Caenorhabditis elegans: one gene and its partners. The protein of the gene in region 4 purifies or fractionates together with the protein of the main gene of each other region. This does not show direct contact. Each region holds a gene or a part of one and is shown on either strand. Other genes may lie near its edges. The genes, in order: hmg-11, R09E10.1, W02H5.8 and hpl-1.

Region 1 (5,836 bases), on a different chromosome or scaffold from region 4:
CTTTGAAAACGAGGCGAGGAGGTACTTGCGGCGAATGTCTTCAAGGGATGGTCCAACAAGACCCATCACAACAAACTTGCACTTGAGCTGCTCACACTTTCCACGATCCACAAATTCAATGAAATTTTTGAACTTGTTATCCTTCTTCTTCTCGGCAGTCTTCATCATCACAGTCACCTCGACTTTCAGACGTAAGTATCGCTTCTCTCCCTCTTCACTTTCAGTCTTCAATGCGTAGCATTTGTTGGATGCCTGGCTCTCCCGATGCACTTTGTACACATCTCCAAATCCACCGGAACCGAGAAGATTCACTACTTTCCATCTGAAAATTGTTTGACTTTTCAGCAGGATCTATTTTCTTCAGTACTTACCCGTCTGTTGCTCCAACTCCCAATATGACATCTCCAGATGACAACTTCTTTCTGGCTGGCTTTTTTGGCTTCTCACCTCGTGGAAGAAAGTCTCGTTCTCCTGTCACCTTGCAGTCGAAACTGCGTACCTGAAAACCTTTTGTTTAAAAGCTTTCTTGAATAAGTTATTTACCGTATCACCAGCGAGTTCGTCCACTCCAGCCTTTCCAAGCCAGTCACACGACTTTTTGTTCAAGTTTTGAACGGTTTGGATGCCTTCCAAGCAGTTTCTGAAGACCTCATAGTCTGGAGCACTCGAAAATTCGTATCCATTGATGACTGAGAGAAGTGGTACCAAGTCGCGTGGAGCATGAGTGAACTGATCTTTCCCGTCTGAAAATTAAAAAATAAAATACACTGTTCAGAAAGATAAGCTGTCTTCTTACTTCCGGCCATAAAAGCATCCTTCTGCTGAATTACCACTAGTGAATTGTTCTCCCGCTTCCAACTCAAAGATCCATTATCCATCAGATAGAACAAAGTGTACACCCAGCTTTCCAAGTCATCCTTTCGTCCCTGATCCTTGGATCCTTGGCAAGCTCTGTTCGCGAAGCGTCCACAACCGTACATCTTAACATTCGTTCTTGCAGTCACATGTTTCTTGTTTTCTTCGAACTTCCTAGCTTGACGGAAATCCTGCAAGAACAGAGTTGGCTCGTCCATTCCTAGCCCACAATGAAACGATGCTGGACTAATGTTTCGGTGAATGTAGCCAATCGAATGCAGATTCTGAATTGCTCTGAGCATCTGGAGACCAACGACGAATGAGCAGTCCATTGAAAGTTGTCCCATCGTGGCCTTTTTCATTATTTCATTCAACGTGGCACCGTATGGAGAAACGATCAGAAACTCCACTTTGTCCTTCACAATACTGCCATACTCTATCATTGATATGAAACATTTGTCACCAGGAATCTTCTCAAGACGTCGGAGAAGAGCTGCTTCAGTCTGAAATTGAAAATAAAATGTACATCCTTCCTGTTCTTCCAAAACTTCTCACCTTCAAAATCTGTGGATCCTTTCTCGCCACCTTCATTCTATAATCGTCTCCCGATTCCGTATCCTTCACCAAATAAACGTCGTAGTCCAGAAGCTTCGAACTTTTCCGCAGTTGCGATGTCACCTTGTACTGGTTAACTCCTTCCACAATCTCCCCACTCGCGAAGCACTTCATTGGTGAAGGTTTCTTGCGAGCACGACCCGAGTTATCCTTCTTCTTGTTTTTTCCACTCAGTGGACCTTTCGAATTTAACGAACTGACTCTACTTTTAGATTTACTCGATCTAAGATCACCGCCTGTGGTCTGAAAAATTTAGGTTTAATTGTGGATAGCACAAATTTTAGATTTTACAACACGGCTAAGCCAGTTTCAAGAATCATATCTTTAAGGCATTAAGGCAGGCAGAACCTAAGGCTTCCATGCAGACACCGAAAAGTTTGCCGTGGCCACCTGGAGGCGACCTTCGCCTGCCTCACATCGCGACTCCTGCATCTTGTATAGTGTCACGATGAATCCAAAGTGTCAGACGTAAGAATCTTTGGTGCAAACACGAAGCATTTGATTGCATGTCACAATTGAGGCGAAGAGGGCGACGTGAGGTGGGCACGTTTCAGGCAGGCTCTGAAGCCACGCTTGCCGCTCGTGGAAGCCCTAGACAGAACCAAAAGTATCGAATGTCTCTTTTCACGTTAACCATTCTGACTCTCCAAACAAAAAAGTACAAATTTACGATAAAAACCGCATAACAAGCAACTCGAAATCTTTATTAAAACAGATGCGCCAACATTCTCCAAACTTACATTCGGCTTCTTCCCTCGAAAAGACAAAAATCCGCCGTTCGGTTTTGAGCCAGGCTTCCTTTTCTGTGTTGATTGCATTGTTGAGAGTTTTGATTGTTTTGCCGTCTCATCCGCTGTACCCATTTTGAAGTGCAATTTTGCCCCAACTCTCGTTCAGATGGTATGATCGCCAAATTGAAAAATAAATTTGAAACTGGCCGAGGTGGGAGGATTCCCGTGATTTGTTTTTTTTTGTTCTTCCACGGACAAATTTTTGGGGAAAGGTCGGGTCTTGTTGTCACGTAGAAAAGTTGTGAATTTAATTTTTTTGTAATTGGAAAATTTTTGAATATTATTTTCTCACATGTTATTTTTTGTATTTTTATTTGAGCATTATACAAGAATTTCCCAGTTACAAAAAAAATTTACCTAATTTCAAAAATTGTTGAAATTGGTTAAAAGTTTTTAAATTTAAAAAATTCTATGGATAGTTCCAGAATAACTGTTTTTTAAGGTAGAGTAGCAAAATTTGTGCTCAAATTTAAAACAAAAACGTACAGTATCGGCCAAAACTCTTCTCGTTTTCAGTTTTTTTATGTGATTGTGCTTGAGTTGTTCAAACACGCATAACTGAAAAACTATGATATTAGCAAAATATTTTCAACTAAGAAAATGTTGCCAATTACTTGTTTTACATGTTTCCTAGTATCAAAATTATAAAACTTCATTTCAAAGAATTTTACAGCAGCTGACATCAGGTGGGTCTATTTTTTATAGTGACCCACATCTAGGGATTTTTTTGAAGCAAAGTTAATCCACAGATTTTTCTACATCGTCCAATTTATTTCTCTGTCACAACCAGGAACATTTATACTTAACATTAAACAAACATAACGTCAGAATCAAGTGTCTCGTTTTTTCCAGTTTTCCCATGATGCCTATAACCTTTCTTAGGATCTCACTGGCATGTTGCCAAGACGCAGCTGTTTGAATGTTAAAAACGATACAATCTGCCTATTTATTTTCCATGCACACATCGTCACGACATTAGAACATCTGTTTGTCCATTGTTTCCAAATTATGTATCGATTTAATTTCTAATCCCTCCTCCAAGGGCCCCACACACATTCTCGCTCTAATAATTGCTTACTCATTTTTTTTTTGCAGTGTGACACATTCTCCCCTCTTTACTCCTCTTCGCTCTTTCCCATGTTCGAGGTCAGCACGCTCGTTTGGTGTCCCAAACGCCTGCGTCTCTCGCACGCGACCGAGTTTTGAATTTAATTCTAAACCGCAGCGCGACCGCGTCGCTCTAACGAACGGATCTCTCCGTATCTAGTTCAGGGAGTTTTTCTGACATTTGCTTGTTTGTCTCACACCAGTTTCATACGATATTTGAATTGGTCTCTGGATTTTTTTGAAAATTTTTTTCTTTTACTTTTTTATTTTTTGCTTTGTATTTATATTATAAAAATGTATAAATTTTCAGAATGAGTGGAGAAGTTGGATCCAACGAATGCCTTGTTTCTACCAATGAAGTTCAAGAAGATTCTCCAGCTGTGACCGAGTCATCAAGTACGTTTTTTTTTGCCTTTTAAATTGTAGTATTATTCAAGATAATTTCAGTTTTTAGAATCCAATAAATCTGACTAATTCATTAAAAATTATCTTTTTCAGGCGCCAACGGATCTTCACCAGTTCGTCGCGGACGCGGACGTCCACCAAAGGGAACCAAGGTCCCAAAAGTCAAGCCGGCTCCAAAGCCGTATTCTGGAGCACCACGTGGCCGCCCACGCAAGTCTGACCAAGTTGCCAAGTCTCCAGTTGCCAAGTCGCCAGTTGCTTCATCGTCCGCCGATGCTTCTCCAAAGCGTTCTCGTGGAGCACCAAAGAGCTACGCTGAGGATGTTGCTGCAACGAAGCCAGCCAAGACTGATGTCGCCACACCGGCTCTTGCTGCTTTGACTGGAGAGAAGAAGGGACGTGGACGCCCAAAGAAGAATTAGATCCAAGGATCTTCATTAACGGTCTCCTCTTCGTCTCATTTTAAGATACTCCGACCTTTTCACTTTTAATTTCCTGAGCCATTATTTATGTATTTATGATTTTTGAACGTCAAGTGAGTGTGAAAATAAATAAAATTAAATTTTCAATGCAATTCGATCTCAAAGACCTCTTATCAACCAAAATGATTTCGAGCAAGTCAAAATGAGCAGCTTCAAGTGGTGTCAGGCTGTCCCATCGCCCCACTGCACACAAACAGCGGGAAATAGTTCTTCAACTTTTGTGACGTCACAGCGCAATTTTGAATATGTATTCTCCCGCCTTTCGTGTGCAGTGGAGCGATGTGACAGTCTGACACCACGTGAACGGAGGAATACGGTGCCCCGATTCGAAACGAATAAAATTTTGTAGCTACCGTAAGGTTATATATTTTTTCTATTTTTTGGTGGGGTTTGCCAGGCGTAAAGACAAATCAACTAATTATTTTCACTCGAATTTGGAACTAACAATTTATGTAGATTTTCCAAATTTTGAAAGCTTCCATAACCACCGAGTGCAAGCAGAAACAGTGTATTTTCAGTCATACCTTTTATGAAACATTTTGAGATTGAATGGAACTGACCATTATATATATTTCTGCGTTTTTTTGAAATTTTCATTTTTCGGTGAGGTTTGCCGGGTATAAAAACTAATCAACTAATTATTATCACTTGAATTTCAGAAATTATCAAAAACTTAATGGGTGTGTCCATCAGCAAATTTCATAATCTCTTTTGTAGCCGAACTTATGTTATCAGTTCTTCCGTACTTTCCCGATGCCATTATTTAAACTAATCAGTCGCTGATAGTTTGCTAGTTTACTCAATTTGTGAAATGCACTTTTCCTTCATTTTCCTGGTACTGGTGTACCTGACATTTGCCTTTGGTGACTCTTTGATCTGTAACAACGGATTTACTGTAGTAAACTCTAACAAGTGCTTGAAGCTGTTTAGCTCAGCGGTGAAGCACCGGACAGCTGAAGCCAACTGCGCATCTTATGGAGGAACTCTAGTGAATATTAGAAATTCTATTGTGAGTTGATTTACTAAAATCATACTTTTTTTGTGACCAAATTAAAAAAAATCTCTCGATATCCAGGATAACCGAGCAGTCACCCAGTTTGTTGGAAATATTGGCTTGAGCTTCTGGATTGGTGTCTACTGCCTGGAATCCAATAATCCATCTTCTTGCTATTTTGATGATGACCTAGGAACTGATACCGCTTTCAACAATTTTGCAAAAGGATTTCCAAATACCGATATTGGAGGATGTGTCTACAGTGCAACTAGTGGGTCTTTGGCTGGACAATGGATTAGTTCAGAGTGTGATAATGTGGAAATGGCATATGTTTGTGAAATTCCGATGACAAGAGCAGGTAATTGTGACTTCATAGTAAAAATTATTTTAAGCAACAATAAATTTGATTTAGTTTCGAAATTTTGATAAGACAGAAACGTGACTTCTTGGAAGAGTACAAGAGTTTATTGAGAACTTATTGGGCTTCAGGAGTTGATCACAAACTGTCAATTGTGCTCAAAAAGTGAGACCGACCCTTTTCTATATTTTAGTAACACTTTTAGTACCTGATTCCGATAAGGATATAT
Region 2 (8,497 bases), on a different chromosome or scaffold from region 4:
CGCCAAATCTTGCATCCACCAAACACCAACTTTGGAATTTGAAATACTCGAAAAATGGGAATTTTTGTTTAGGAAATCGGAAAAACCAAGTGCACACAACAATGCTCAATCCGAATGTGCATATCATTGGAGAAGATGCCGCGTGTGTTGCTTACGTGAAATTGACACAGTTCTTGGATAGGTAAGTGTTGAAAAAATGAATTTTGTTTTAAAAAGTTGTATGCCTTGCATCAGTTTTAGTTTAAATGAAACAAACACATTTGTAACTTGATATTTGTTAATTGTTAAATTCCTAGTTGTTTCTATGTCAAAGTTTAAAACTCCTAGTACTTAATGACGTTAGCTGAAAAAAAACCAGAGATAAAAAAAAAAAAAAGTTGAAATTCTTCCTAGAATTTTGAACGAGGTTGAGATTCTAGAATTTATAACAGAATTGATTAGATTGTTTAAATGAAAGTGGAAGTTTTGTTTCAGTGAGAAAACCGCGTAAAGATGAACTTATTTTATTGTCACTTGGATTGCTGGATAGTTGTGAGAATCTAGAAAATATTTCCAAATTACCCAAATGAACAATAAAGAAATTACAAAGAAGCCTAATTAAAGAAAAAAATAGCGTTTGTAATAATTGCACAATGACCCCAAATTACTAAATTTTATAAAGAGTTTCTATTTTCTGAATGAAAGCGTGTTTTTAAAACTCTGGCAAGTCATGAAACTTGCGAAAAAGTGATCTAATGTAAGAATCGGTGCAGCATATCCGTATTCTGCCAAGAAAATTCAGAGTTCGGTTTCACAATTTTCTAAAATTTATCTAAAGTAACAAATCACAGGTTAGTGTCACTTGGAATAAACTTTTAAAAAAATTCCCTTATATTCTTTATTTTGTACTGCATAATCAACATAATTTGAAACAGTTTTTTTTTCTGGAACTTATTTTTCTAGTTTTTGGTCAAAAATCTGTGGAAAACAACATATCATTGTCTCGTATTACATACAATTTTTACCTTTCACTCTTTATTTTTCAGAAACGGAGAAGCTCATACCCGTCAGTCACAAGAATCACGTGTGTGGTCAAAGAAACAAGGCCGTTGGGTGTGTGTTCATGTACATCGATCAACACAACCATCAACAAATACAACAGTATCTGAATTCTAGAAGAACCTTCTTTATGCCTATTTTTCTCTTCGTTTCCTAACATCATCTACGTCATCATCATCTCTCTAGGCAATATTTTCCCCGATATTTTCTTTTGAGCCATTTCAATTCAGTTTTGATGACCAAAAAAAACAATTATGTTTCGTTTTTCATAGCATTATCTGCTTTTTTCTTGTTCTCTTTCTTGTCCCATTCTCTCAGATATATGGTTTTTGGGTGACCCATCTTTTTTCTCCTTTTATAGTCTCACAAAAAAGTGTCGTCGGTTTTTTTTTCAATTTTTTATTTCAAAAAAAGCTTCTCTTGTTTTCTCTCCCCTGTTCTTTCCTCGTTTACTCTGAACAAATCTGAATAGCATTTTCGATTAAAACAATATATCTCTCTTTTTCTAATTTATTTGTGAATCACCCCTCTTCCCTCCAATAAATTAACCTTCCCCATTCACTTCCCCTTCTTAAAATCTGTTAGTTTCCCCCACCATCATTTTTATCTATGATATTTCCATTTGCACAAGGCCCACAATTTGTATTTTATTGGAACGCCCCCACCTTCCCTCCCGTCTCGAGATCACTCGTTTTCTATTTTTTTTTTGCTCTCAACTTATACAACCTCTCGTTGTTTTGTCAATTCAGTATGTGTTTCGTCTGGATCCGAAAAAAAATGAATGTATTATTTGTCATTTCGATCGATATGATGACAAATGCAACAAAAAAATCTTAAAATAAATTGGCTGGAATACAATGTAAAGTTACTACATACCTACTTTTAAATGAAAACGACAGAAAAATAACAAATTAAAAAAATTATCGGTGCAAAATTTTACTGTTTCATGTATATTATAAGAATTTTCAAAATTTAAATAAAAACGGGCTAATTGTGAGTTCAAACGGATCCATTATTTCCACAAAGCATTATTTTGATAGTTATTTTCAATTGTGGATTTTGAGAATAGGATTTAGAAATTGGAAAATCAACAGTTCAGGTACAAAATTGAGGAATTAAAAGAAATTTATGTAAGTACAATGACAAAATCTACACCGTTTTATGAAGAACATGAAACAAGTCATATTTTACTTTAAAACTACTGTGTATTTTTCTTTGTCAGCAGGCACTGAACACGTAATCTATGTCCAGAAAAAATTGAAGGTTTATGAAAAAATTTTACATATGATTCCGGATAACCTAACAATTGCTCACATTATGCAGCACAGGCAAAGCGGAAAGTGCCCAAAACGGTCCGTTCACGGACCGGGAACGGCTCAAATTTAAGAACAGTTCACGGTTCGATTCCCGGTCCGTCAACGGACCGTAATTGAACCGTAAGGAGACTAAAAAATGGGAAAATTTTTTCACCCTCCAGCTGCCCCTTTTTCTTTCCCAATGCTCCACCGAGCTCCGGTCTTGCTCCAGACCGTCTTCCGGTGATCCTTCGTTGTAGCAATTCTATCTGCCTCAGCCGGGGTTGAACTTGTCCACTGCCTGTCGATTGATTACTGGCCCATCACCTTACCGTTTGGCCGTTCGCGCACGCGAGGAAAATCAATAGACTTCGCATAAATAGCAATCAGCTCGCGCTCGCGCATTTTCTTCTGGTTTTCACGTCTTACACCAACTTTTTCGATTGTATTTTCAGTAGTTTCTGATTCTCCATCTTGCCGTTGGACTTATATGAAAGCGAACGATAACAATTGACAGTTTCGTGTAGTTCAGAACTTATTTCGCATATTTCTCAACATCTACCTATACGTGCTCCATCTACTTGTAATACAGAAATGGTACTTACATATTTCCTCTATTAGTCTTGCATGCAAGACTAATTTTCGATTGGACCGGGTTGCAATACTAATAGACGAAATAAGGTATATGCGTTCTACTTGAATGATACCTTAATTTCTTAAAATACACACGGAACAGAAACGATATGATTCCAGAATGTATTGTTAGTAAAATATTTCATGATATTTCAAAAAATGCTCCTGTTGCTCAGCTGAAGAAGACCAGCAGAGAGAGTGAACGTTGCGTATACACAGTATCTACCCAATTGTGGCATTTCATCTTTTTTATTGATATGTTTATAGGATTACATTAATATAACCTCTTTTACACACAATGTCATGCTTAATAGCCTCAGTTAGATCGCATGCGATTACGGGCCGTGTACGGACCAGTTGGACGGATGATAGACAAAATGGTTGCCCAGAGGAATTTTTTTTCATGAAAATGGAGTTTTTGAAGTGCCTACACTCTCCTTTGGCTAATTTGAGCACTTTTTCCATGCTAGAACCTGAAATTTTCAAAAACAAAAATTTGGTGCCCGGGACGGTTCATTTACGGTCCGTCTACGGGCCGGCGACGGACCGTCTACGGACCGGAAACGGCCCAACTACGGCTCAAGAGCCATCTCGGTCGGTAAATGTGGTTTTTTCTCTAAATAATGCATTTAACGACGTAAAAATGCTTGAATTAGCCAACTGGTATCATAGGTATTAAAAAAAATTCGTTTTCTTAAAATCCATTTTTTCCTCTTAATGACCATTTTTTACATTCCCCGTAGTTTGCCCGTAATTGGTCCGTCCCGCTTTTCATATCCGTAGTTCGCCCGTTAATGGTCCGTTCCCGGTCCAAGATCCGTAAACGGACCGTACCCGCTTTGCCTGTGGCAGAGTGAGTGCAAGACTGAAGTGGTAATTATGAAGATTGATATTGAAACTGGAGAGCACACAGGCTTGGAGCCATTTTTGAGAGAATTCTTTGTTGTTGCCAGTTAAGCCCATTTTATTGAAATGTTTTTTTTTAAGTAACTATAAACCTACTTTTAGGCAAAACGACAGAAAAACGAATTTCAAAAAAAACTTCGAATTAAAATTTTACTGTTTCATGTATATTATCAGAGTTTTCAAAATTTGAAATTAAAATTAAAACTGTTCTATCTTCCTTTAAACACGATTTCAATTGAAAAAAGTCAAGCTTGTTCGCCTGCCTCGCGCCTTCGTTCGCGCCTTCGGGTCTATTTTTTACTGAGAAAAAAACAGATTTTACTGAGAAAAAACAGTTATACTTTTCAGTTCATGTCGAAAAAGGGAATGAAGTTTCTTTCTCGTTTAGAGAAGGAGATCGCCGCCAATCGAAGAACTTGAACTTTTTTAGTAATTCTTTTTTTATAAAATGAATGTTTGGTTGGAATAATGAACTCAGAGAATATCAAATTTCAGTTTCATAAATTGAACTTACTACAAATTAATCTTTGGCATTTGAGAGTAATCATCCGCCATTGACTGATTTCTTTGATTCGAATCTTCTATTTCGGTTCTTATACTTTTCAAGAGTTATATTCAAGTACTTTGTTGTCGTTTTGAAAGTCATAGACCACATTTTAACACTAAAACTACAATTATCAAATATACAATCTCGATAATTTTTTTTTGTATTTTTCTAGTCCAAATAGAGCTTTTTACGTAGACAGAAATACAAATAACAATGTGTGGAACTAAAAGCAATGTGGATGCAATACTAATAGGTACATCACCGTAGTTTTCAAACAAGACAGAAATCGCTTTAAAAAATTGGAGGCCGTTATATTTTACATTTATTGTCTATTATCAAAAATCTTTCCAAGAAAAAGACAGAAGAATAAAGCAATGATTTTCAAAAGTAACACCTTTGGGTGTTTACAGCAAAGTGGGCCACCTGGCACTTGACTACATGAAGAAAGTTGTAATTTGATTTGTTTTCTTACATTTCTGAATTACTATTTGCATTAAATAATTCTTGAATAATTTATGAACGTGTTGTTCCGGATAATGATATATATCCTCTTTTACGTTCATAGACGAAATTCAATTTATTGCTAACAAATTAGAAATCGATATTCAGATTTCCTGGAGTCAGGTAAGCTAAACACAGGGTTTTTAAAGGAAAATGGTCATGTTTTCTAGAACACAAATGACAAGTCCTGATGAGCACTCACCGGAGAAGAAAGATTCAGAAAACGAAGTGGTGCCGGCGGGGCCAAAACAAAAGGCAAAGTGTCTTGAGAAGGAAACCAAATCTCCGCCGAAACCATCAGATTTATCGAAAGCTGAAAGAAAGGAAAAGAATAATAAGACTGCAAGAAGAGATGTGAAGAGTTCTCGAGGAAATGTGAAAACCATGAAGCCATCTGTTGTTAAAGTAGAAGAACGATCGTCTCGATCAAAGAAAAGTATTCGCGAAGGAAAGCTGAAAAACTTCTCCCTTCCGTATGTATTTTACTCGACACTTTTAGATGTTTGTTGGAAAGGAAGCCGTCTTTCTGGCATGTGCTAAATTATATAAATATTATGAAATGAATTCCACTGGCACAAGTTTATGACGTGGTAGAAAATTGGGTATCCTTGCAATTTTTTGAATACTCTATCATTCTAGTTCATTAAAACAACTGGATCACTGATTTTTCAATCCATAGTATGGATTGAAAAAAAAAGGATTCCATACATGAGAGTCCACGCGTTGCCAAAATTACAAAATAACAGTAAATTGAATGTTTTATTTTAAAAATGAAATATTTTACGAATTAAAAAATCACGTTTTTAGTTTTGATCTCACTGTATTAGTTTTGGACAAGCAAGGCGGGGTCAGAATTTACTTTAATACAAAAAATTTCAGGAAAGACGAACCCGAGATTACTGCTCTGCAACTTGACGCCGAACTTACAAAGAGTGCTCGTTTGATGGAAGAATACAAGGTTTGAATGCAAATTTACTTTCACTCTATTTTCTAACTTTTGGTTTTTACAACAAAATTATTCCAAAGAAACTCATAAAACCTTGCTAAATTTCAGATTGCCCTTGAGCAAATCATCACAACACTCGTAAGTATGATGAGACGTGGAAACGGGACGGTTGACATGGAAGTAATATACATTCTACTTGAATTATTTCGCTCAACCACACGTATTTTAGAACATTGTAAGCGACAAAGGACAAACGGCAGCGGAGAAGCTGAACAAGGAAGTACAGTTGACTCAAAACTATTGGAAAACGGACACAAAGTTGCAACCAGCAATGAACGATGCAATTGCAAAAAATACTGTCGTTCTGGCAGCAGCTGAGAGAAATTTGCAGACTCAAGGGCCCCAACATCTCAAAAGAGTCAAGAAGTTTCTTTACGGTCAATATCCGAAGGTTTGTTATCAGGAATCAATATTCAAAGCTCTAGTTTCTTCAGAAGTTTTTCATAAATGTAACCATAAAGTTTCACCTTTCAGTATGTGGATATGAAGAGAGACCTGCTGAAAATTGTCAAACAGCAGAAGCCCGAAGCCCAAAGTGTTCGCGATGAAAGTGCTCAAGCGATTTCGAAGTTCATCAAGGAAAAGTATGTGAATGCCAAAATATATGCATCTCGGAGAAATTCAAAGTGCTTTCGGCGAGTTGAGCGTTAGTTTGTTTGATTTTAAATATTATATTTAAACACAAATTATCATTTCAGTTTTTCCATCGTACATCCGCTTTTACTTGGCATCAAATCGCTGAACGACAACCTCCAAAGTCTTCATATCACGCCGAGAACTTCGACTTTCAACAGTTCTTCACAGCACCTCCAAAAATGTAAACTGTGACGTCACCAATAATTTTTTATGATGATTTATGATAATAAAGTGAGAGACGGAGAGAAATTTGTGTGTATTCAGAAGGAAAAAACATAAGTAAATACAGGAAAGAAGAAAAAAAGAATATATATTCGATTTTTTTAACGATATCATTGAATTTCTGATTTTTCAATTTTCAAAGGAACATTGGATAGAACAAACTATATGATATCTGGAAGACCAAAATGTGACATCATATTAAAAGTAATGAAATAGGCGGTAGGCACATAGGCAGGCAGGCGTGCAGTAGGATCACGAAAAAAATACAGAAAATCGGCGACATGCATGAAGGCAGGCATGTTGGCATTCGGCAAGTACGAATGGTAAATAAAATACTGAAAACACGATGTAGGAATGAAAGCCTAAAAGTGCCTGGATATAATTGAAGCCTCTTTGAAGTTCAGTAAATATACGTTACCTGTAGAATTCAACATTTTGGCCAAGAATTAGTTTAAATTAATATTGGATAGGGCTGCTTAGGCAGCAACCTCACAGCCCCGTAGTAGCACAGTATTAATAACATCCCGTGTCAATTTTCATAAAACTGAATATAAATTGGGTTGATGTTGCTAAAGGGCTGCGAAAAACTGAACTGGGATGAAGCTGGGCTGCAAAGGGCTGCGATGGGTTGCGACGGAAAATAGCTACAGTGCTAAAAGGGGGCTGATCCCAGCCCCTCAGGACAAAGCTCATACCCTTCGCCCTTCGCAGTACAGCTTCAGCCCATTTCAGCCCTTTACAGCCCTTTAGCAACATCAACCCAATTTATATTCAGTTTTATGAAAATTGGCACGAGATGTTATTAATACTGTGCTACTACGGGGCTGCGGGAGCTGCTGCCTAATCAGCCCTAATATTGGATCAAAAATCTGCATTAATATTTAAAAAAAATTCTGTGAAAAAAAAACAAACAAACATTTTAGTATCGATCACGTCAAACAAATGAAAAAATAAGTTCATGAAAAAAACAAACTCCAAAACAGAAATGAAAACATGTTTTTAGAAAAAAAAAACTCTGAACAATTATGTATATAAGGGAATCAAAATATATCAGTTTTCATCGCAATCGACTAATCAACTGACACCAACACATCCTGCTTAATCGACATCTATCATGTCCAGGAATAACACTCAAATGCACATCACAAGCTCTCAATTAGAAGACGGATTTCCATCGATTACCAACAATTTTCTGACAGTGACAGTGAACTTCAACTACGATCCATCGAATCCTTCTGAGCCACCAACAAAAGTCCTGGAGAAGATGAGTGATCTGATTGGCCAACAGATTGTAATGTTTCTGAATTGTATTGTTAAAACTTATATTCTTTATTCAGGCGAATCTTCAAAAGGGAAAGGCACCAAAGGCAAACGACGACAAGAGCAAAGGTTCCATGCCTACCGTTGAATTCTCTCGGACCCAGTCCATGACTACTCAACAAAGTTTGGAGGACGATGATACTCAACGAGAAAATGTTCCTCTTGAAAAGAAAAAGAAGGGGAAATACAGTTCGGAGTACGCTAATCTTTTGGTGGAAAAGCCAACTCGTTACCGTTTGGTTCCATCGAAAAATGTGAAAGTAGTTCCAGAAGATGAGCTCCCGAAGAAAAAGTTTGACAAGGATCGGAAGAGAAGAGAGTACGTGGAAATTGGAAAACTGTATTCTAAAGAACCAATTATTGATGAAAGTGAAGTTTTGAAAAAGGAGAAAG
Region 3 (10,964 bases), on a different chromosome or scaffold from region 4:
TACACAGAAATCAGTCAAAATGTCTTATTTCGATTTGATCTACAAAAAATGCGGGAGAAGAGACGCTTGGTTAAGAGCGTGCTGACGTCACCACAAATTTTCTGGAAAAAATATTCCCCCGCATATTTTGTAGATCAAACTGAAATGAGACGCGAAAAATCACCACAATTATAAATTTTGCCTAGAAATGCTGTAATAAAGCTGGACTGGACATCTCCTGAGATTCTAGATTTAATTTTGGAAGAAAAAAAAGTACAAACTGCGTCAAAACGACTAGAAGACTTCTGAGGGAACGCGCGCGTGGGTGTGTATTGCCGGAATTGAAATTACCGGCAAATCGGCAAAGTGCAAAAATTGAAAAATTTCCGGCAAATAGGAAAATTGCCGGAGTTGAAAATTTCGGGCAAATCGGCAGATTGCCGGAGTTGAAATTTCCGGCAAATTGCCAATTTGGCGAACATGAACATTTCCGGCAAATCGGAAAATTTGCCAAAAATTAAAATTTCCGGCAAATCGGCTCATCGGAAATCACCGAAAATTGAAATTTCCGGCAAATTGAGAAACCGGCAAATTGCCGAAAATGAAAATTTCCGGCAAATCGGCAAATTTGCCAAAAATTAAAATTTCCGGCAAATCGGCAAGTTGTCGGATTTGAAAATTTCCGGCAAATTGGCAAATTGTCGGAATTGAAAATTTCCGGCAAATCGGCAAATTGTCGGAATTGAAAATTTCCGGCAAATTGGCAAATTGCCGAAAATGAAAATTTCCGGTAAATCGGAAAATTGCAGAAATTGAAAAATTTCCGGCAAATCGGCAATTTGGCGAACATGAAAATTTCCGGCAAATTGGCAATTTGCCAAAAAATAAAATTTCCGGCAAACCGGCAAATTGTCGGAATTGAAAATTTCCGGCAAATTGGCAAATTGCCGAAAATGAAAATTTCCGGCAAACCGGCAAATTGTCGGAATTAAAAATAAATTTATTTACCGATTCTGCCGACGGTCGTGCCCGGCTCCTGTCTGCCAAAAACTTTTTTTTTCAGATCCCTCGGCTCTGAGCTCTTTTTTCTCGTTTTTTCGAAAATGTCATCGTCGAGAACAATAATGCTGTCGTCCTGGGAGCCCGTGGGTCTAAAACTATTTTTTTCGGCGGTTTCTACAATAGTTCAGAGCATTTTAAGATGTACCTTTCATCCAAAACGACCTCTTCCACTTTTTTCGTCCGTGTCAGGTGTTGGTTTTTTGCCACTTTAAATAAATTAAATTGATTTTTTTTGCGGTTTTTATTGATTTTCAAGCTTTTTCGCGAATTTCGCAGTTTTTATTGATTTTTTATTTTAATTTTGCTTTAAAACGCATATTCTTCACTGTATATATCGTAATTTCACAGAATTATTCAGATATCGGGTCTCGGCGCGCAAAATTTTTTTTGGTAGCCGTTTTTCTTGCATTTTTCATTGAAATTACTTATATTTTAGCGAATTTCTTGTTGAAAATTGTTTTAAAAATCAGTTTCAGAGTACAAAAAAAAACACACACAAAAAAAGCGAGTGGGCGGCAGTTTGCCGGTTTGCCGGAAATTTCCTTTTTGGCAATTTGCCGATTTGCCAAAAATTTTCAATTCCCGCAACATGCCGATTTGCCGGAAAAAATCGGTTGCCGCCCACACCTGATTTGTACTTTGAAACTGACATGAGTTAAAACAATCTTAACGGAAAAATGCAAAGAAAACGACGAAAATCCCAAAGTATTTTCGTTGAAAAATGCAAGGGAGATACTACACTTTTTTTTTGCGCGCCGGGACCCGTCTCAATAAATTCATGCGCCTTTAAAAAGGCGTGTTGAAATTTTGTGAAATTACGACATATATGCGTTTGCAAACGAATTAAAATGAAAAATGAAAAATCAACAAAAACTATTACAGGAACACTAAATTCTGAGAATTCTGCGTATTGCACAACATATTTGACGCGGGCAAATATCTCGTACCGAAAACTACAGCAACCCTTTAATTGACTACTGTAGCGCCGCTGGTGTCGATTTACGGAAATAATGTATACACCGATAAAATATTGTAAAATACGAAAAAAATCGAGATCCCGTAAATCGACACCAGCGCGCTACAGTAGTCATTCAACGGGTTACTGTAGTTTTCGCTACGAGATATTTTGCGCGTCAAATGTGTTGTGTAATACGCAAAATTCTCAGAATTTTGTGTTCCCGTAATATGCGAAAGCCAATGTTATTTCAGCAGATCCTCCGTTGTCTGTGTGAAACTCACACCAACTAGCACAAAAATTCGACGACGTTGTCGGCTGCTGCTGCTGCTGATCTACGGATGATGGTGCATGTAGGGATGGTGGTGATGATGATGATCCGGGCGTCGCTTCATCATCGCCGAGACGAATAGTTTTGATGGGTTTCGGTGGCGGTCTGTACATCGGAGCCGGAAGCTGCTGCTAGAAATATCGAAAATGCGCTCAGATGCTTTAACCACGTGTGGTGTCAGACTGTCCCATTTCGGTTTGATCTACGTTGATCTACAGAAAACGCGGGAGTTACGTCGCATTTTGCCGGAGCGAAAAATTCCCGCATTTTTTGTAGGTCAAACTGAACAGCCAGACACCACGTGTGTGGTTAACCACTAACATTCGCGGCATCATCATCCGCCAAAAATTTGTTCCACGTGTATTGCGATGATCTTCTGTGGCCGTGGCCGCGGCCGCTAGCGGCGCCACGTTTGAAAACTCTTCCATTACCACCTGCACCACCACGCGTGCTCCGCTGGTCCGTAGGTCGTTTGGATTTTGGCCGCGGCTGGCGTGGCATGCCTGCAAAAATTCTCAATGTCTGCACACACACACTTCTGGCTTCCCTCTTCTTAATTGAAAAGGAAGAGTTTGCCGAATTAGGCCATATTGGCTCGGGGTAGATTTACGGCGCGTTGCGTGTCGCGTCGCGGCTTGTAAAACTAAACGTATTTGTCCGTGTGGAGTACACGACACTTTCCCACGCGTTGTCCGGCGGGCGATTGTAAATGGAGCGCGCAAGAAGTTCAATGAGGATGGCCAGAAGCCCGTGTTTCTGTACTTTGAACAGTGGTCATTTTTGTTGTCAAATTGCCAAAAATTGATCAATGAACACAAAAAAATCCTATCTTATCAACACAATCACCCCACGTCGTGTTTTCTCCGTGACCATATTGTCATATTTTTTTAAAAATTTCTTATTTTCCCATCCTAATTCATTTTCAGTTGGGCTAATAAAAATGTCGAAGAAATTTGTGAACAAAGCGGAGGAAGCTGTCGACGATGCGCTTTTTGGACTGGTTTCATCGAATTCGAATGTCAAATTTCATAAGGTTAGTATTACCGGGAACAGAGAATTCTGAGAATGCTGCGTATTGCACAACATATTTGACGCGCAAAATTTCTCCTAGCGAATACCACAGTAACCCTTTAAATGACTAGCGCTTGTGTCGATTTACGGGCTTTAATCAGTTTCGAAAATCGAAATCCCGTAAATCGACAACAGCTCGCTACAGTAGTCTTTTAAAGAGTTACTGTAGTTTCCGCTACGAGACGTTTTGCGCGTCAAATATGTTGTGCAATACGCATTCTCAGAGATTCTGTGTTCTCATGATATTGAATATTACCCATATGCAAAACTTTGCGATTTTTGATAGAAAGAGTACTGTACTTGCAAACTCGTTGCGGAATTTTGCCTTTTTTTTCGGTTTTTCAAGAGCCAATTTTTGGTATCCGTTCTCTCGACACGACAAGTTTTTGATTTTTGTTAAATACAAAAAGGTGTGCGCCTTTAAAGATTACTGTAATTTCAAACTTTTGCAGCAGCGGAATTTTTTTTATTGATTTTTCATTTTTGCATATATTTATATCAAAGAACCGTGAAAAATCGACAAAAATTTCGCAGCTACACAAGTTTAAAACTACAGTAAGCATTAAAGGCGCACACATTTGGGTATTCATCACAAATCAAAAACTTGTCGTGTCGAGACCGGTCACCGTACTTCTGCACGTGGTGCTAGGCTGTCTCACTACAGTTTGATCTACAAAAATGCGGGAATTTTTTTTGGCTCAAAAAAATGTGACGTCAACACGTTCCTAGCCATTCGAAATCAGTTGAGAACTCTGTCGCATTTTTTGTAGAATTATGTAGATCAAACCTAAATGAGACACTCTGCAACCACGTGCAACGCGAGTTTAAAACTACAGTAATCTTTAAAGGCGCATAGCCTTTTTGTATTTATCACTAATCAAGAAGATGTCGCGTCGAGACCGGTCACCGTAATTTTGGCACAAAAATCTCCCAATTCCAAGATAATAACAAGCCCCGGCACATTTCAGAGCTGCCGACGAGTTGTTCACATCACCGATCTCAACCCCTCGCACCACGTTTCCCTGATAGCTGGAGGTGGTTCAGGACACGAACCGTATGCTGCCGGATATGTTGGAAAAGGTCTTCTGACCGCTGCAATTGCCGGAAACGTGTTCGCTTCCCCGCCGTCGAGGAACGTTCAGGCGGCATTGGAGGCCACTAGAGGAGAAGGTACGGTTTGATCTACAAAAATCGCGGGGGAATTTTTTGCCCAAAAAATGTGACGTCATCACGTTCTTAACCAAGAAAAATCAGTTGAAAACTCTGCCGCATTTTTTGTAGATCTACGTAGATCAAACCGAATTTTTTTGCAGCCGGTGCCATCTTGTTCGTCATTAACTACACCGGAGACCGTCTGAACTTTGGTTTGGCGGCTGAGCGATTCAACGCATCAGGTGGCACAGCTCGAGTCGTCACGATCGCCGATGACGTGGCAATTGACAGCCCGAATAGCAAAGTTGGACGTAGAGGTCTGGCGGGTGCAGTTTTAACAATTAAAATTGCTGGAGCCATGGCCTGGGAAGGAAAATCGCTGGATGAGATCTACGAGACATCTCAAAAAGTTGTGAGCTCAATGGGTACACTCGGCGTGTCACTTTATACGGGAAGCTTGCCGGGCAAAAATCGAGAGACCGAGTTGCCGGACGATCAGATTGAAGTAGGACTGGGAATTCACGGTGAGCCGGGCAAATTTCGTGCTCAATTTGGCAGTGCCAATCGAATTGTGCACAGCTTGTTGGACACACTACGCTCGAAGATGGAAATGCGGGAAGGCGAGAAGTTTGTGGTTCTTGTCAACAATTTGGGTAGTGTTTCGCAGTTGGAGATGAACATCGTGAATGGAGAGGTTTTGAGATATTTTGGTGAGGAATAGGGAATAGCTTAAAATCGGTGTGATCTACAAAAAATGCGGGAATTTTTCGCCCAGAAAATTGTGACGTCATCACGCAATTTTTTTGTTAACAAACGATTATTTCCGGCAAATCGGCAAATTGCCGGAATTGAAAATTTACTGCAAATCGGCAAACCGGCAATTTGCCGCATCGCCGGAAATTTAAAAAAATTTTTTCTGGAAATTTCAAAATTTTTTATTCGGCAAAAATGATAAAATTGCCGGAATTGAAAATTTACGGCAAATCGGCAAATTGTAGTTTTGCACATTTTTCTGGAAATTTCAAAATTTTTGATTTTAATCGGCAAAATGAGTAAAATTGCCGGAATTAAAAATTTCAGGCAAATTGTGGTTTTGCACATTTTTTTCTAGAAATTTCCGAATTTAAATTTTAATCGGCAAAATTGGTAAAATTGTCGGAATTAAAAATTTCCGGCAAATCGGCAAATTGGCAGAATCGAAAATTTCCGGCAAATCAGCAAATTGTCGGAATAGAAAATTTCCGGAAATCGGCAAACCGACAATTTGCCGCATCGCCGGAAATTAAAAAAAATTTTTTCTGGAAATTTCAAAATTTTTTATTCGGCAAAAATGATAAAATTGCCGGAATTGAAAATTTACGGCAAATCGGCAAATTGTAGTTTTGCACATTTTTCTGGAAATTTCAAAATTTTTGATTTTAATCGGCAAAATGAGTAAAATTGCCGGAATTAAAAATTTCAGGCAAATTGTGGTTTTGCACATTTTTTTCTAGAAATTTCCGAATTTAAATTTTAATCGGCAAAATTGGTAAAATTGTCGGAATTAAAAATTTCCGGCAAATCGGCAAATTGGCAGAATCGAAAATTTCCGGCAAATCAGCAAATTGTCGGAATAGAAAATTTCCGGAAATCGGCAAACCGACAATTTGCCGCTTTGCCGAAAATTTTCGGCATAATGCGGTTTTGCACATTTTTTTGGAAATTTCAGAATTTCATTTTTAATCGGCAAAATTGGTAAAATTGCCGGAATTGAAATTTCCGGCAAATTGTAGTTTTGCACATTTTTTTTCTTGGAAATTTCAGAATTTCAAATTTTAATCGGCAAAATTGGTAAAATTGGCAGAACTGAAAATTTCCGGCAAATCGACAAATTGCCGGAATTGAAAATTCCTGGCAAATCGACAAATTGCCGGAATTGAAAATTTCTGGCAAATTCGAAAATTGCCGGAATATAAATTTCCGACAAATCGGCAAATTGGCGGAATTAAAAATTTCCGGAAATCGGCAAAATGCCGGAATCGAAATTTCCGGCAAATTGCGGGAATTGAAAAATTTCCGGAAATCGGCAAAATGCCGGAATCGAAATTTCCGGCAAATCGGCAATTTGCAGGGAATTTTCAAGTTAGGCAATTTGCCGGGAATTTTCAATTCAGGCAATTTGCCAATTTGCTGGAAAAAAAATCGTTTGCCGCCTACCCAAAACTTCCGAATTTCGGGAAAATCGAAAATTGTTTTTTTTCGACGACACCCACGCTGCTCCCGATCTTTGTAAAAAAAATCCAACTTTTTCAGAAGATCACAAAATTGGAATCACTCGATTCTTCAGCGGTATCTACATGACATCTTTAGACGGTCATGGCGTCAGTGTCACCATTCTGAGAGCCGATGACTCTATGCTACAGTACTTGGATGCTCCAGCGGCGGCGCCGGGATGGATTCCAGCACTTTCAGTACAAAAATGTGTAGATCATCAGGAAATTTCGGATTCGTCGTCCCAAGGCGACCTAATCTCAGAAATTCCAGCGTCTGGAGTAACTGTGAATGCCCAGCTCGTGGAAGCATGCGTCGGAGGAGTTGTGGATGCGATGCTGGAATCCGAGAAACATCTGAATCAACTCGACGCGTACGCCGGTGACGGAGACTGTGGGAGCACGTTTGCCGGAGCAGCTGAAGCGATTCGCAAGCAGACATCAGGCCTCAACTACACTCATCCGGAGACACTTCTCAAGCAGCTTTCCATCATTTTTGAGCAAACCGTCGGAGGAACCAGTGGAGCGCTGTACGCGTTGATGTTCAGCTCGGCGGCGCAGAGTTTCGCTCAAAGATCGCAAAGAGGAGAAAAGATCGATCGAACGTCGATTCTGGAGGCGTTGGACAAGGCGAATCGGGCGGTTCAAAAGTACGGAGGCGCGAGAGTCGGAGATCGGACGATGGTTGATGGATTGGATGCGATGGTCGAGGAGTTGAGAAAGGGATTCAGTGGGAATGAGGAATCGTTGGATGCGATCTTCGAGGCGGCGGTTAAGGTGGGTTGGGAAAATGTTTGAAATTCGGGGAAACCACAAAAAAAACGCGAAAGAATAACAAATCCAGCCCTTTCTGCAACATGAAACTCGCGACCAATCAGCGACTGGTCGAGCTCCGCCCATAGTGCCTGATTGGTTGAAAAGAAGACGGAGCAATGTGCTGATTGGTTGTAGTTAAGCATTTTGAAGGGAATTCAATTTTGGAAGAGTGCCCTCATGAATGCGAATTACGACCAATCAGCGCATCTCTCCGCCCACTTTTGAACCAATCAGCGTTCACATTGTGCTGATTGGTTGAAAAGGAGGCGGAGCGAAACGCACTGATTGGTCGTAGTTGAGCATTTTGGAGGGAATTCAAACAGGGAATTTAAGTTAGCCGAAAATCTTTAAAAATCTCGTTTTTAAAAGTTTGATTTTTCAACTTGGGCTGAGAACCTACCTACCAAAATGAAGCGTACGACCAATCAGCGATGCGCTCCGCCCACTTTTGGGCCAATCAGAGCTCTGATTGGTTCAAAAGTGGGCGGAGCAAATCGCTGATTGGTCGCAGTTCTGGTTTTGGGGGGAATTCACCAGAAATTTGTATTTTGCGATAATTTTGAATTTTAGCCTAATTAGGATGTAACGTCAATGAAAATTTCGCTTCAAAAAATCCAAAATAGTGTCGAATTCAGAAAAAAGCCACAAAAACGCAATTTTGGCTGAGTACGACCACCAATCAGCGATTCGCTCCGCCCCCTTTTCAACCAATCACATCTCTGATTGGCTGAAAAGTGGGCGGAGCGATGCGCTGATTGGTGGCAGTTCTCGTTTGGAGAAAATTCACCCAAAAATGAGAAAAAGTCCTTTTTTTTTTTTGAATTCGAAACTATTTTTGGATTTTTTGAAGCGATTTTATCAGCCAAAATTGAAAAATTACATTTTTTAAAGTTGGATTTTCCTTTTTTTTCGCGATTTTTTTCTGTGGAATTTTTGAGTTTTAGGCCTATTTTGAAAATTAATAATTTGCAGGCTTCCGAAAAAGCGGCGAAAGCGACTGCAAGCCAAACGGCAACCGTGGGCCGTGCCAGCTACACATCGTCAGAAGCCCAAACGAAGCCTGATGCAGGGGCCACGGCAATCTCACTCTGGCTTAGAGCTTGCTGGACGGCTTATAAAAGCGAAAAATGATCAGAGATCGAGAGAGAGAGATAGAGAAAAATGGATAATAAAACCATATACATAGTTTGAGCAAAAATTTAAAAATTTCGTGTCGAGAAATAAAAAATACTTTAAATAAAGATCATCGTATAAATAAATAAATAGACAAATGCACAATAAGAAGATACACATTTTAAAGGTGGTATAATCGATTTTTAATAAAAATTGCTTTATTAAACTCAAAATTGTCTGAAAACACCGAATTTCATAATGAAACTTTTTGAAAACTTCTCAAAAAACAGTTATGGCGACTCAAAAAATGGGCTAAAATTAGTTAAAATTTGAAATTTGACCGATTTTTCAGCGGCTGGAAATTAACTTTTTTGAAATCACCGTCAAATTTTGGGTGTATAAGTTAGTTAACTTGCGTTTTCAACTCGATTTAGGTACATTAAAGACCGATGGATTACCAGAAATAACCAAATTTTACAAAATCTGGATCGACCTTAACGGTGGAGATCAGGAAAATGAGCATTTTAAAGTAAAAAACTCATTTTCCTGATCTCCACCTTTAAAGTCGATTCAGATTTTGTAAAATTTGGTAACGCCTGGTGATCCGCCGACCTTAAATGTACCTAAATCAAGTTGAAAACGCAAGTTAATTAACTTACATACCCAAAACTAGATGGTGATTTCAAAAAAGTTAGTTTCCAGCCGCTGACAAGTTGGTCAAATTTCAAATTTTAGCTAAAAAAAAAACAAATTTTAGCCCATTTTTTGAGCCGCTATAACTTTTTACGAAATTAAACAAGTGATTATTTTTGAACTCGGGGCGTCGGAGAGCTCAGCTTCTTGTTAATGGCACGAAAGAAGACAGGCTGAGGGCGATTCTCGCCGCCGCCGCCGCCGCCTGAAGCCAACGGGCTCTGCGGTGGGTGAGTATCGTGAAGCAGCGGAGCATTGGGGCGCGGAGATTGAGCAGATCGATTTGGAGTAGAAGGATCCGCTGATGATGGTCCGTCTTGGTAGTAGAGATCTGAGACGTTGACGTCGAGTGGCCGAAAACGAGTTGATGATCCATTTGAAGAGCCCGACATTGATTGAGTGGCTCCGCGCTGGAAAATTGGAATTTTTTTGTTATTCAGGTTATTAAGGAAAAATGGCCAAATTTTCCGATTTTTGGAAATTCGGAAAATTTCAAATTTTCGGGTTTGCCGAAATTTCACTAAAATTCGATTTTTCGATGTTCCGAAAGATCAAAAATTGTCGTTTTTCGTAAAAATGGGACATTTTTTTGAACAAAATTGATTTTAAAAAAAAATTTTTTTGTTAATTTTCTGTACATTTTTTTGGTTTTTTTTTTAATTTTTCGGTTTCCGAGAAAATCAAAAAAATTTTTTTCTACCGAAGTTCTGAAAAAATTCGAAAAACAGCTTAAAATGCTGCGTATTTCTCATGTAAGAGATAATAGAATTTTTTAAACATTTTTTTTCGATTATTTTTTGTATACTTCTTCGTTTTTGTTTTTCCGATTTTTCGTTTTTCCGGAAAATCTTATAAAAAAATTTCAAAAAAAAAAATCAATTCTTCGGTAATAGCTTAAAATGCAGGTTTTTTTTTCCAATTTTTGTTTTTAGGAGAAATTTGAATTTTGTTTTCAGATTTTCGGAAAAATGCAAAATTTTTCGTTTTTATTTTTTTAAGAAATAAAAAACTTTTTTTTTGAATTTTTTTTTTTTGGAATTTATATGTTTTATAAAGTTTTTAATTAAAAAAAACTTTTTTTTTTTGATTTTTCGAGCGGCCGAAGACCAAAAAAGTTTTCTTATTCGATTTTCGGAAAAATGAAAAAAAAAATCGATTTTTCGGAAAAAAAGCCTAAAATTTTTCGATTTTCCGATTTTCACAAAAATTAACAAAAATTAAAAAATAAAATCGATATTTGAAAATATTAAAATTTGTCGTTGTTCTCTGAAAAAAAGAAGTTTTTTCTCAGTTTTCCTCGATTAGAAATTGGTAAGAAATTTTGGCAATTTGCCGGTTTTCCGGAAATTTTCATTTTCGCCAATTTGCCGATTTGCCGAAAATTTTCAATTCCGGCAAGTTTTTCTCGAAAAAATTTTAAAAAAAATCGAATTTTTTTGCCAATTTTCCTCGAGTAGAATCGTGGTGAGACCTGAAAATCTCGTGCTCCAAGTGTCTGCCGTCGCTTTTCTCCTCCCTTCTCCAGCAGAAGCGTATCATCGTC
Region 4 (6,683 bases):
GATATAATAAAAGTGGTTTCCTCACAGATCTTCAAGTTTTACATTACAATTGGAGTATCCGAGAAATACTTTTTATGATCAACTTCCTCAATTTTCATCGGAATCTCAAAAAAAACGTCATATGTTGCCTTTCTTCTTTTTTTTTAAGGTACCCAATCGTAATATCACTATCATACCAAAAAGATCATCACGTTCAATTCCCTGCTTCAATTGCAACAAACTACACACGTTCTGTAGATTTACTAGAAACACGTGGGGGACAGGAAACAACCTTTTGGAGCATGATGCGTGGAGGAATAATCGAGTTTCCCTAGAATAGCGAGGAAAATATTTGGTTGCCCGAGTAACGCTGAAACTAAATTATATATTTTCATCGAAGTTCGACCTGAGCCGCATTTTAGCATTCAGATCTGCAATGAAGATGCCGAGTTTCTTAGTGTTGCATATTTTATCAATATTCTTTCAAATTAGCAGCTGCTTCAATTGTACGGGAAATAATACGTTGTGCCAGGTATTGGGAATTGTGTTATCAAATATTGCTGATTTTATAGAGCTTGAAATTTCAATAATAGATTTTATAAGATCCGAAGAATAGCTAATAATAAGAGAAACTGACTGAATCATAAAATGTTTAAAAGTAAAACTAATTACCTATTCAAAAATTCCCTAAAAACACTCAGAAAATAAAAAAAAATCTGGTCAAATCTTTAAAAAAAAAATCAAAAAGCCACTGATTAAGGTGTGCAAACAATTTGGAGAAACTGACGGAGTCAATACCTTTTATGCTGACCAGTTGTGCTCTATGTACGCGGGAGTTCAGGATACTTCGGGGAACTACACAATCCCAGAAAGATGCGAACTTTTGTTTAGCAAGCTGCATCGTGAGTGTTGAAACTTGAAAATTGGATTAGGGGGAAGTAACTAAAAATTTGTAATTGTGAAAAATGAGATTAGAAACGTTGAGCTCTTGAACTTTTAGATTTTTCAGCTTGACGTTTGATTTCTGAGTCTAGCTTATATGTCAAATTTTTCTATTTGGTTCAAGAAATTAATCCCAGAAGTAAATGTATATAAATCAGGGAATGGTTTTATTGCATGAAAATTGTTTGAAAAAAACTCCGTGTTCATTGATTCTTGTCCTTGAACTGACTTTGTACAAAAGATTATCTACGTCGATAAATAGATACTTGTTCTCTAGCATCTTCCTGTCAAATGGCAGTATTATCGAATGTCGATCTTTTGGGTTCTTACATACAATACGGAATTCGCACGGTGAGTGTCTCAAGTTAACGGTGAATTTAAATAAGTCACATATTACAGCAAGAGCATAGTATGCTGTTAGGTTTGAATAGAGAAAATTGCTCTTCGAAGTGGAATTGGTGGTCTAGATTGGAGAATAAAACAATCACAGCTGGAGTCGGGAATCAGTCAGAGCCATGTGACATTGTGCAAGGGGCTTTTGTGGTGAGTTATGATAAATTTATTTCTAATTAAAATGCAACTTAGCAAAAGAAATACAAAATTAGATTGGGTGATTCGGATTTCTTAGTTTTTGCTTGCAAAAATAATGTAACACAACATTGATAATTGGAAAAATACAATAAATATTAATAAAAAATTTAAAAAAATTACTTTAATGGCAGCGAAGAGTGAAAACCAAAGTGAGACTTGAAGTAAGAAATGATGACGAAACATCATTATTTCAGGGGTTTAACTTGGTTCGAATAACTCCTTCGAATTTCACACCGACCGGCATTTTATGTCAATGCAGTGGGTTTTAAAACGCAACATTTCTGATAAGAAGTAGCAAAGACTACAGTTCAATATGTTTCAGGTGACCAGGTCTCTTTCTTGCCAGTGGTTAAAAGTATTGATACAGCAACACGGCTCACGTTTTTCGCAGTGATGTTGATAACTATTTGTAGGAACCAAATTTTATGACATTCGTGGTACGAAATAAAGTTTTTCTTTAAATGTTTGTCAAATGAAATCGAGTAAAATCAATCACGTCAATTGAAAATACAATTTAAATATTCATCATACGAATAATTAAGGATGAGCTTTCATAAAAACCTTCATAAAACAAAAATGAACTGTTCTGACAAAAACAGGTTTGCAAAATTTAGGCTTCATAAAATCAGTTTTTTAAAAATGTGAAAAATCTGATAAGTCAATTCAAACAAAATTTTTTTTTCAAACGGACAAAGAACTGTGTTTATATTTTTAATGTGCTCTAATAATTATATGATCAAACGGTTCTAATAAACAATTTAAACTTTTCAGGAAATGTTGCGCTTTCAGACAACTAGCCAATTTACAAGACAACGTCAGATTATCAGAAAGGTTTGTTTTAGAAGCAAAATTATGAGTTGTTAAAAACTGAACAAAATTCTTAAAGAAATACTTTCGTTGTAAAACACGTTGTAGCGTGGTCATTATTGACTATTTCGGTATTAATGTATCAACCTGTCACATTTTTGCATCCCAGCACGTGATGAGAAGATAGAAACTACATCTTTCTTTTCTGATACGGTAACATAAAATCAGAAGAATGTGCGTTTTCGTTTATCTGGTAAAGGATTGTTTCTAAAGCAAATATTTAAATAATTTATTAAAGGAAAAAACAAAATGATGTGAAAAAATTTAATATAAAAAGTTCAAAAATTTGTTAAGAAAAATGGGAAGCGAACAAAGAGTAAGTCCTTCATCAACGAAATCTCAGCGAGAAAATTCACGAAACGTACTGAGAGAACAATCAAATTATGGGAAGGGGAGAGGGTGCGATATAATTTTTGAAATTAAATTAGCTCATTCCTCCTGGGATGGTTGGCGAAACTCCTTGAAGAACAAGACGGGTTTCGTAGAATTTGATGACTTGACTTGGAAAACTGAAAATCACACTTTATTGAAAACTAATATTTTTGATGACTTTGCAGTAGCGATATTTTAAAAAGTTTTGAATATTGCAAGAAATCCCTTGCGACTTGTGAATAGCGCCAACTTAGGTTCTTTGGGGCGAGTTACTTTGCCGTGACAAATGTTTTATCTTGACTCAACTTATTACAGTATCACACTACGTTCAAGGCAAGTTTTTCTAATGCCTTTTAAGTGTACGAGAAGCACTTTCTTAGATGTTAACTACATCATGAAATTCGAGGTTTCATATTTTCCATTTATAAAAATAACCTATTATTTTTGGCTGTTCTGCTAGCACGTATTGAAGGCCGAATTTGCTCGTTCCGCAGAGCTTCATGAATTTTAGGATGCATTTATATACTTTAACAGTACGTTAAAGAGTCGATTGTGAGCATTTTTAGATTTTTTGATTTGCTTTAAACTTATAGTATTGCCCTGTTTATTTTCTGTCAAATACCAGAAAAAAACAAAAATTTAATAAACATGAAAAATCCAGGCTTGCAGGAATATTAAGCTTTCGACTTTCACCATATTTTTCAATTTTGTAACATTCTAAATCTTTTTCAGACTCTTTCAAATCCGAATTATTTTTTGTCGCTAATTTTAGAGGGAAAAACTAAAATTTTTATAAACGATAATATTTACCGAACATTGGCTTCTCTCAATGGAATCAAATGCACAGAGTCGTCGCTGAACTTGCACAAGAAATGCAGTTCTCCGGGTGCCTTGGTGATTCCAATAATTGTCTTCAGTGTTTTCCCAGCCCATTCATCGCTGGTAGATGGTTGGAGCTCTGCAGAAGACGAAGTCGACGGTTGTGGGGAATATCGACGTTTGCGTGTTGTGCGCTGCAATTTTGTTACTATGTATTTTCATCTCAATAAATTTGAAAAATCTCACCTTTGCCGCTTCCTTCTCGTATTCCTGAATCATCCTATCGCACTGGAGGTTCTCAATTGGCTCCCAACTGCACTCGGACTCTGGGAATCCCTGAAGCACAAATTATTGTTCAAATAACATTTTAAGGACGAAAATGTACGAACCTGCCATTTTATATAGTACTCGCTTCCGCCACGCGTCAACCGTTTATTCAACACTTTTTCCACCACGAAGACGTTGCTGGAGGACTAGAAATATATTTTTCACATTAATATTGCCGATCCTTCAATTTTTTCTCGATTTTAAATTTAAAAAAAACTCACTTCCTGAAACAACGGAGCATCTTGTGCCTGCTGAGCTTCCCGAGCTCTGAGTGAATTCCCGCGAGTGCTTCGGACAGGGTTTTGACGTGACATTTTGGCGAAAAACCACCTGAAACCAAAAATCGATAGTGGAAAAAAAACAAGAGGAGACGAGAGTGAGAGAGTGTGCCGCACTGCAGACTAAACGCGTACAGCGCACGGAAAAAAGCGGGAGACATAGGCCCGGGTTTTCAACAAGTCTTTCGATTTGAAAATGGAAGAGTGACCGTGAAAAGGTGCAAACCTATGTCGGCGGCCACTGTCGACAAAAACAAATTTTTTTATTTCATCTTGCTTAGCCTCTCTTGTATTTAAAGAGATGCCGGAAGTCGAATTTGCACTCTTTCACGGTCACTGTTCCATTTTCTAAAATAATTTGTATTTGAAACTCAAAGTTGATTTTCTTCTATATTTTTCTATTATTTCAAAAAAAACCAGACCATCTGAAGTTTTCACAGTCACTTTTTTTAATTGTGCGCAGATTCTTAATGAAACAGGCTAAAAAGTAACATTTGAATTGACTTTCGTGCAATTTTCCTGGAAATCATACAACAATCAATACAACAACGATCATAAACTGCGAACATTTGTAGATAAAATGTTTCATTAAGAAACATATGGATACAAACTTTGAGAAGAGAGGGGTTTGAGAAGAAAAAAATCATCTAAAAAAACGTGAGAATCTGGAAGCTCATCTGCGATTGCCCTTGTTTCGAAAATTACAAACCTTTAGCCCATGTTCCAAAATACATAAATAAGTTACTGACATATTTAACCACTTGAAAACGTGAAAATCTGATAGCTCACACTTAATGAGCCGTATCCCCAAAGTTGAAGACTTATAGCTTGATTTACAAGCTAAATTAATTCGTGGCCTATTTATTACCGTGAAAGTGTGAAAATGTGAAAAGTCAAATTCAATTACCCTTAACTTCAAAGATAGACCCATACGGCTCAAGATGCAAAATAATTTGGGTCGTGACCTATATAATTGAATGAAAACGTGAAAATCTGAAAGCTCGTACTCAATTACCCATAGCTTCAAAGTTAAATCCATATAGCTTAATTCTCAAAATAATTTGGGTCATGACCTATATAATCAAGTGAAAATCTGAAAATCTGAAAGCTCATACTCAATTACCCATAGCTTCAAAGTTAAATCCATATAGCTTAATTCTCAAAATAATTTGGGTCATGACCTATATAATCAAGTGAAAATCTGAAAATCTGAAAGCTCATACTTGATTACCCATAGCTTCAAAGTTAAATCCATATAGCTTAATTCTCAAAATAATTTGGGTCGTGACCTATATAATAAAGTAAGAATGTGAAAATCGGAAAGCTCATATTCGATTACCCATAGCTCCAAAGTTACAGCCGTGTAGCTCAATTTTCAAAATAATTTGGGTCGTGACCTATAAAATCAAGTAAAAATCTGAAAATCTGAAAGCTCATACTTGATTACCCATGGCTCCAAAGTTACAGCCGTGTAGCTCACCTTTCAAAATAATTTGGGTCGTGACCTATATTGTCAAGTGAAAATGTGAAAATCTGAAAGCTCATACTTGATTACCCATAGTTCCAAAGTTACAGCCGTGTAGCTCACCTTTCAAAATAATTTGGGTCGTGACCTATATTGTCAAGTGAAAATGTGAAAATCTGAAAGCTCATACATGATTACCCATAGTTCCAAAGTTACAGCCGTGTAGCTCAATTTTCAAAATAATTTGGGTCGTGACCTATATAATAAAGTAAGAATGTGAAAATCTGAAAGCTCATACTTGATTACCCATAGCTTCAAAGTTAAATCCATATAGCTTAATTCTCAAAATAATTTGGGTCGTGACCTATATAATAAAGTAAGAATGTGAAAATCGGAAAGCTCATATTCGATTACCCATAGCTCCAAAGTTACAGCCGTGTAGCTCAATTTTCAAAATAATTTGGGTCGTGACCTATAGAATCAAGTAAAAATCTGAAAATCTGAAAGCTCATACTTGATTACCCATGGCTCCAAAGTTACAGCCGTGTAGCTCAATTTTCTAAATAATTTGGGTCGTGACCTATATAATTGAATGAAAACGTGAAAATCTGAAAGCTCATACTCGATCACCCACAGCTCCAAAGTTACAGCCGTGTAGCTCACCTTTCAAAATAATTTGGGTCGTGACCTATATTGTCAAGTGAAAATGTGAAAATCTGAAAGCTCATACTTGATTACCCATAGCTCCAAAGTTACAGCCGTGTAGCTCACCTTTCAAAATAATTTGGGTCGTGACCTATATTGTCAAGTGAAAATGTGAAAATCTGAAAGCTCATACTTGATTACCCATAGTTCCAAAGTTACAGCCGTGTAGCTCAATTTTCAAAATAATTTGGGTCATGACCTATATAATCAAGTGAAAATGTGAAAATCTGAAAGCTCATACTTGATTACCCATAGTTCCAAAGTTACAGCCGTGTAGCTCACCTTTCAAAATAATTTGGGTCGTGACCTATAAAATCAAGTAAAAATCTGAAAATCGG

The links.
Region 1: the proteins of hpl-1 (region 4) and hmg-11 purify together in Caenorhabditis elegans (affinity purification with mass spectrometry, with the first as the bait; one study listed by BioGRID). This does not show direct contact.
Region 2: the proteins of hpl-1 (region 4) and R09E10.1 fractionate together in Caenorhabditis elegans (co-fractionation; one large-scale study listed by BioGRID). This does not show direct contact.
Region 3: the proteins of hpl-1 (region 4) and W02H5.8 fractionate together in Caenorhabditis elegans (co-fractionation; one large-scale study listed by BioGRID). This does not show direct contact.

What each region holds. Positions count from the first base shown.
Region 1 is NC_003280.10:4,669,407-4,675,242, forward strand, and holds hmg-11 (HMG), read left to right. Parts: upstream 1-3,678; 5' UTR 3,679-3,679; coding exon 3,680-3,764; exon of another isoform or gene 3,765-3,866; coding exon 3,867-4,195; 3' UTR 4,196-4,340; downstream 4,341-5,836. Other genes in the region: T05A7.6 (Protein kinase domain-containing protein), read right to left, coding at 1-322, 372-499, 544-743, 797-1,358, 1,411-1,713, 2,211-2,333; clec-140 (C-type lectin domain-containing protein), read left to right, coding at 5,067-5,264, 5,331-5,607.
Region 2 is NC_003282.8:10,317,654-10,326,150, reverse strand, and holds R09E10.1 (LEDGF domain-containing protein), read left to right. Parts: upstream 1-3,400; 5' UTR 3,401-5,097; coding exon 5,098-5,393; intron 5,394-5,799; coding exon 5,800-5,878; intron 5,879-5,974; coding exon 5,975-6,046; intron 6,047-6,095; coding exon 6,096-6,317; intron 6,318-6,400; coding exon 6,401-6,572; intron 6,573-6,624; coding exon 6,625-6,668; 3' UTR 6,669-6,812; downstream 6,813-8,497. Other genes in the region: unc-43 (Calcium/calmodulin-dependent protein kinase type II), read left to right, coding at 73-181, 1,026-1,155; R09E10.2 (Reverse transcriptase domain-containing protein), read left to right, coding at 7,899-8,075, 8,122-8,497.
Region 3 is NC_003283.11:2,644,947-2,655,910, reverse strand, and holds W02H5.8 (Triokinase/FMN cyclase), read left to right. Parts: upstream 1-3,253; 5' UTR 3,254-3,267; coding exon 3,268-3,360; intron 3,361-4,366; coding exon 4,367-4,568; intron 4,569-4,711; coding exon 4,712-5,260; intron 5,261-6,842; coding exon 6,843-7,576; intron 7,577-8,587; coding exon 8,588-8,746; 3' UTR 8,747-8,856; downstream 8,857-10,964. Other genes in the region: angl-1 (Endonuclease/exonuclease/phosphatase domain-containing protein), read right to left, coding at 988-1,130, 1,187-1,247, 2,281-2,458, 2,649-2,828; W02H5.2 (SOCS box domain-containing protein), read right to left, coding at 9,532-9,831, 10,893-10,964.
Region 4 is NC_003284.9:13,242,956-13,249,638, reverse strand, and holds hpl-1 (Chromobox protein homolog hpl-1), read right to left. Parts: upstream 4,250-6,683; 5' UTR 4,212-4,249; coding exon 4,119-4,211; intron 4,044-4,118; coding exon 3,960-4,043; intron 3,907-3,959; coding exon 3,817-3,906; intron 3,765-3,816; coding exon 3,562-3,764; intron 2,889-3,561; coding exon 2,804-2,888; 3' UTR 2,595-2,803; downstream 1-2,594. Other genes in the region: K08H2.7 (uncharacterized protein), read left to right, coding at 1,213-1,272, 1,321-1,464, 1,707-1,770, 1,835-1,941. UniProt on the Caenorhabditis elegans protein: Seems to be involved in transcriptional silencing in heterochromatin-like complexes. Involved in epigenetic repression. Probably does not act as global transcriptional repressor. Plays a role in linking epigenetic regulation with the innate immune response.